Linked DNA regions of Saccharomyces cerevisiae S288C. The protein of the gene in region 2 interacts with the protein of the main gene of each other region in a biochemical or structural test. Each region holds a gene or a part of one and is shown on either strand. Other genes may lie near its edges. The genes, in order: CYC1 and COR1.

Region 1 (2,690 bases), on a different chromosome or scaffold from region 2:
TCCAGCATGGGCGGCTTTTGATGGGAAAGATAGAATTGAATTGCAAAAAGGTGATTTTATAACCATATGCGCCAGCCCATATGCTTTTCCAACCGTGGAAGCCTCGCCCGATGAGTTTATTAACAGTATCAGTCGACAACTAAACTGGAATGTGAGGGAACAACAAAAGTCCTTTACGCATATTTTGTCCCAAAAGAACCAAGAAAAATATGCACATGAGGCGAACAAAGTCAGAAATCAAGCAGAACCTTTAGAGGTAATAAGAGATAAATACTCTCTGGAAGCAGACGCTACTAAGGAAAACAACAACGGAAGCGATGATGAGAGCGACGATGAGAGTGTAAACTGCGAAGCTTGCAAATTAAAGCCTTCGAGCGTCCCAAAACCTTCTCAAGCAAGGTTTTCAGTATAATGTTACATGCGTACACGCGTTTGTACAGAAAAAAAAGAAAAATTTGAAATATAAATAACGTTCTTAATACTAACATAACTATTAAAAAAAATAAATAGGGACCTAGACTTCAGGTTGTCTAACTCCTTCCTTTTCGGTTAGAGCGGATGTGGGAGGAGGGCGTGAATGTAAGCGTGACATAACTAATTACATGATATCGACAAAGGAAAAGGGGCCTGTTTACTCACAGGCTTTTTTCAAGTAGGTAATTAAGTCGTTTCTGTCTTTTTCCTTCTTCAACCCACCAAAGGCCATCTTGGTACCAGGAATATATTTCTTTGGGTTAGTCAAGTACTCTGACATGTTATTTTCGTCCCACAACACGTTTTTCTTGATATTGGCATCTGTGTACGAATACCCTTCAGCTTGACCAGAGTGTCTGCCAAAGATACCATGCAAGTTTGGACCAACCTTATGTGGGCCACCCTTTTCCACGGTGTGGCATTGTAGACATCTAGTCTTGAAAAGTGTAGCACCTTTCTTAGCAGAACCGGCCTTGAATTCAGTCATTATTAATTTAGTGTGTGTATTTGTGTTTGTGTGTCTATAGAAGTATAGTAATTTATGCTGCAAAGGTCCTAATGTATAAGGAAAGAATATTTAGAGAAAAGAAGAAAACAAGAGTTTTATATACATACAGAGCACATGCATGCCATATGATCATGTGTCGTCGCACACATATATATATGCCTGTATGTGTCAGCACTAAAGTTGCCTGGCCATCCACGCTATATATACACGCCTGGCGGATCTGCTCGAGGATTGCCTACGCGTGGGCTTGATCCACCAACCAACGCTCGCCAAATGAACTGGCGCTTTGGTCTTCTGCCATCGTCCGTAAACCCCGGCCAAAGAGACCGGAAAGATCGGTGAAAACATCTTGATCTTGCTCCCGGGAATTTTAGATTCAGGTAGGAAATTGATTACATCAATACTGTTACCCTGAATCATATTCGACGATGTCGTCTCACACGGAAATATAATTCATTTCTTGGTTTTCCAAAAAAATTTTCATTTTTTTTCACTTTTTTGTTTCGTCCTCCTTTTTTTTTTTTTTTTTTTATTTTTTTTCCTGTGTTCACCTTTTTTTTTTTCAGTTGACATCTTTCTGCATTCTTTTCTGTGTTTTTTTTTTTTTTTTTCGTTTTTCCATTGTTCGTTCGTTGCCTGTTTTTTCGCCCTATTGTTCTCGAGCCTAAAAATTTTTTCCTTTCCTGCTTTCCTTTCTTCGTTCAAAGTTTCCTATTCCATTGTTCTCTTTGGTAAACTCATTGTTGTCGGAACTCAGATATATTCAGGTCAATTTACTGTACTTCAATTGACTTTTTTCTTGAAATTTCAACTTGCCTTTTCAACTTGTTCTTCTTTTTTAATCTTATTCTACACTTTAGTTCCCTTACCTTGTTCCTAATTATTGTCTAGCAAAAAGAAAACATACACCTATTTCATTCACACACTAAAACATGTCTGACGAAGAACACACCTTTGAAAATGCTGACGCTGGTGCCTCCGCCACCTACCCAATGCAATGTTCTGCCTTGAGAAAGAATGGTTTCGTTGTCATCAAAGGTAGACCATGTAAGATTGTCGACATGTCCACTTCCAAGACCGGTAAGCACGGTCACGCCAAGGTCCATTTGGTTACCCTTGATATCTTCACTGGTAAGAAGTTGGAAGATTTGTCTCCATCCACTCACAACTTGGAAGTTCCATTTGTCAAGAGAAGCGAATACCAATTGTTGGATATTGATGATGGCTACTTGTCCTTGATGACCATGGACGGTGAAACCAAAGACGATGTCAAGGCACCAGAAGGTGAATTGGGTGACAGCATGCAAGCTGCTTTCGATGAAGGTAAGGATTTGATGGTCACTATCATTTCTGCCATGGGTGAAGAAGCTGCCATCTCCTTCAAGGAAGCTCCAAGATCTGATTAGATATTTTAGATTTCTATAGCTTACAAAATACGCGATGTTTTTTTGATCTAGAAATCTTATTTATACATTTTATATAATATTATAATAATCATAATCATAATTATTCATCCTAACTAACTTCGTTCTGTTTCAGCTACGAAGTTGCCTTCATTATCGCTACGTTCGTGTTAATTGGTGTTTGATACCATAGTCACTTATGACGACGTGCAGAACTTTTTTTTTTGACGGATATTTTCCCCTCAATATGCCGAGGATGATTACTTTATAATTTGCCTTCTTTCGGTTCCTTCTTCTTTTTAATT
Region 2 (4,155 bases):
TAGTGAGTCCATCGATGAGCTCTTCACAAGAGGATAAGATGGTTGCGATTGCTGGTATTACCTACCGTGAGAATATTAGCAGTCCATTAGGCAAGAAGTCCAGATGATCGAGAGATGACTTCTCTACCAACAACTTCCCATTTGCATAATATCATTAAATATGTTTTACCAAAAAAAAGTTCATCTTTCTTATTTTTAAAATCGATAGTTCTTCAGGATCTTGGTCACATATATATATATATATATATATACACTTATATAAAATAAGACGTTTATTTAATCTTGTTTTCTTACGAGTTTCTTTTTTTTTCTTTTTTTATTTTCTACTTTTGCAAGGAACAGTGACCTTGCCAATAAATAATGAAGACTACTTGGGTTACTAGAATATAAAATACATGTAAAAAATTCATTTATGGTGTGAGTGTGCGAGCGTGCCTGTATACATCTAGCAGCTTGCTTATTTCTATTTTATGTGCATGGAAAATATATTATCACACATCTTACCATCTCATCATGGACATGTCACTTCTGATTCTCATGTAATCTAATAACCCTTCAATTTGGCCTGTACCAGCAATAGCAATATCTTGGTCCCATAATCTCTTACCGGCCCAAGCCTTAACATCTTTGACTGTGATTGCATCAATTTTCTTGAAAGCCTCACCCAGAGACAGTTTGGAGCCCTTGATTAGGACTTCTGCGCCTAACAAGTTAGCGTCATTGACGGGATTACCAGATTCGTATAACTGCCCTAATTGTAATTTCAACAGCGATTTGGCACGTTCAACTTCAGTATCAGTGACAGAAATGGTCAATCTGTTCCATTGTTTCAAAGTGAAATGGATGAGGTCGTCAATCATGGTAACGTTTCTCGTGGCCGTAGAGAACCCCCATAAACCGGAATCTTTGTAAGAAAGAGAGAAATGATTGAAATTGTCGCATAATTGGTACTCCTGTATGTTGTCTAACAATTTGATACCTTGTAATCTAGAAGCGGGTTCGAAGGCGTTGTATGAGCCGAAAATTTGGGCGGCTAATTTAGCAACAAAATAATTTGGTGAATTGACAGGTTCACCTTCCACAGCCAGCGAAATCCACGCCTTTGGCAAGGTGTCGTCTCTCAATCTAACTTCGGAACCCAAGAAAGCGGCCTTTTTCTTGAGTACGGGCTTGGTACCGGTTTGCAAACTTAGGTTTTTGGATTCGATGGAATTTACTAAATCCTCATGTTTGATATTACCGGTACCAACAACAACAGCATTTGAATTCAAGAAATGGTTATTGGCAAAAGATTCCAGATCAGCAACAACTAAATTCTCCAAGGACTCCAAAGTACCTCTAGTAGGCAAAGATAATGGAGTGTTTTGGAAGGCGGTGGAGTGTAAATGTTCCAAAACTCTGTTGGGATGGTCGTTTTCTTCAAAATCTTGAACTTGCTTCAAGACAGATTTCTTCGTGGCCTCGAAGTTAGAAGAAGATAGCAAATTAGCCTTTTGTTGGATGAAAGACTGATTCAAGAAGTCTAGTGATTTATCGGTAGAACCTGGCAAAGAAGATACAATGTAAGATTGGAAGTCTCTGGAGATATTGGAAGACAATGCCAAACCTTCCTTGGCGGCAACAGCAGAGTTTTCTTTGGATAGAAAGATGTTCTTCCATAAATTGGAAACCCCGTTGTTATAAGGGTTTTCGTTGGCAGCACCGGAGCCGAAGACAACACCGACAGAGGCTGTGTGAGCGGAAGGATTATGCTCAGTGGCTACAACTATACCGTTAGATAATTGCGTTACTTCGGCCTTGGGGGTTGCTACAGCTGTAGCCAAAGACCTCTTGAACTGGTTAGATACAGTCTTTGAAGTTACTGTTCTTAGCATTTTTTTTGTTTATATATCTTGTGTTTTCTTTCTCAGTGATATGGTGACGATGATGTTCTTCTCGTATTATTACTCCACAATTGTCTTGATCAGCAATGGTAGCAATTTAATATTAGGATTCGTTACCTATACGAACAGGGATGATATAATATTTTTTCTGTGAAAGCTATTGCTTTATTATACGCTGTTTTCCTCGAATAAGACGGGGAAAGAGAGTAGGGGAATATCGGTTAGGGAGCGCTGTAGGCCTTTAATTTTCTTGTTTGGTTTTTATTTGGTGCAGCTGACAGCGCGGGCCCTTGAACTTCTGGAGGACAAAAAACACTGTTAATTTATTGGCATTTCATTGGTGCAGAAAGCGTGCTGTCCGGGTCACAGTTAAAGTTCATATACATGTTACCCTACCCAGTCCGGGTTATGTAAATCGTGAAAAAGAATATCTGGTTTTAAAATCTCTCTTTTCTTTTTCCCCCTGGTGGGTATGGGTGAAATGCTAGAGAGGCAAAAAAAAAGGTTGCCAAGTAAAGCGAAGTATTTGAAGTATACTGCAAGCATCACCGAAACAGGAAATCACGAAGCTGACTCATCTGTGATTTTCCGTCCCCACCATAGTGATGTAACATGCAGTAACGCACGGCGGGCCGAAAGTCGGACTTTACCCCAGATTTGTAGTTGTATCCTATTGGATCACGGGCGACGGACAAGACCCGAAGTGCGGACCGGCATGGTCAGCTTGCACGGAAGCTTTAAGGGTTTCCCTTGTTTCGGCATTAGAAGAGGCATTTCGCACGTTTTACCGGGTCAGAAACTTCGAGGAAGCTGTGACAATTGGAAAAAAAGGCAAAACTAAATGCAATGTATCCGGTTGCCCATGCATTATTTGTGATGTTTTCGGATGTAGTTCGCTGCGCTCCGCGGCGATATATCCTCTAGCGAGAGGCATATGTATAAATATATATATATATATCTAACAAAAGCATTCAAGTTTCTTTCTCTGGTGTTACGTCTTTGTTCGACTTTCTCTGCTTACAGCCCTGTATGACCAAAGAAAAAATAAAAAGACAGCTACATACCAGCAGAAATTTTTTATAGTATTACACTATACATCCAAGTTTTTTCACAATTATTTATTGTTTTTCTCACATAGAAAATTCCGCATACTGCGATTATAATGAACTCTACAACCCCATCGATTCAAGATCAATATATTTTGGCCAGCAAAGTACGCTCCAAGCTGGCAAAATGCGTTAGCGTGACTACTAAAAACAAAGACTACAACCTGAGAGTTTTAGTCGGGCACGCAAACTTGCTGGATAAGATTACAGAAAATGTGGAAACTCATAATGCTGCAACCAACGCCCTTGCCGGAGACCCTTTCAGTAAAGGACCTGAAAACTTGTCCATCGAACATATCGAATTGTCCAATGCTAATGCTAGTAAAAATGACGTCGGTAAGGAGGAAAATGCAGAAAAGACGATAGAAAGTGAAGATTACTGTGATTTTTACTCTAGTGACGAAGATCCAGATGCTGACACTCTATCTTCTACTGACAGTGAAGACGATGATGATTATGAAGACTATGATTTTGAGTACGATTACTCTGGCGGTGATTATAACAAGAAAATTGACATGTACTTTAGTTTTCACACCGCACCTAATTATCAATATTTGACTCACACAAACTCTCATTCCGAGCAGACGGATGAACTTGCCGAATCAACGCCGCGCTACAATGCTCTTCCCGCCACTGCCTCTACGACAGAGGAAGAACAGGACACTGAAACGCTCGATGCTGTGAGTTTGCATAGTTCAGCGCCAATCTTCCGTGTGCTCTCTCGGCGGGTAAATGGACAAGAAGATGACAGCGAAAACGAGAGTAGTAGCGATGTCGACGATGGTTCCGTACCATTAACGAGATTTCATTCTTGTCCTATCACAGCATAAATTAAAATGAAGGAAATAACACAACTTCGTTTTGCATTATCATATTCACATCTGCATCCTATTTTTTTTTTCTCATTGTTGTTGTATCATTATTACTAACTAGTGCATCACCACTTGTCTAAATACCAAACGCAAAATATATATATTCTTACTTCATAACGTTCAAAATAAAGTTTTTAGTTTAAAATAAAATAAAATAAAAAAAAAAAAAAAAAAAAAAAAGAACCTTTTGTTTTCGCCCAGTATATGGGTAAATTAACGGTTCCTTTTATTAGTCATTTTCAACTCTATACCATGCTCCAAAACGGCGTTCGGCACAGGTTTTTTATTTTACCA

What was found.
Region 1: the proteins of COR1 (region 2) and CYC1 are reported together in a solved structure, tested with the Saccharomyces cerevisiae proteins (one study listed by BioGRID).

Annotation. Positions count from the first base shown.
Region 1 is NC_001142.9:524,606-527,295, reverse strand, and holds CYC1 (cytochrome c), read right to left. Parts: upstream 962-2,690; coding exon 632-961; downstream 1-631. Other genes in the region: UTR1 (NADH/NAD(+) kinase), read left to right, coding at 1-412; ANB1 (translation elongation factor eIF-5A), read left to right, coding at 1,915-2,388.
Region 2 is NC_001134.8:133,643-137,797, forward strand, and holds COR1 (ubiquinol--cytochrome-c reductase subunit COR1), read right to left. Parts: upstream 1,875-4,155; coding exon 501-1,874; downstream 1-500. Other genes in the region: PSY4 (Psy4p), read left to right, coding at 1-107; YBL044W (uncharacterized protein), read left to right, coding at 2,356-2,724; ECM13 (Ecm13p), read left to right, coding at 3,046-3,819. UniProt on the Saccharomyces cerevisiae protein: Component of the ubiquinol-cytochrome c oxidoreductase, a multisubunit transmembrane complex that is part of the mitochondrial electron transport chain which drives oxidative phosphorylation.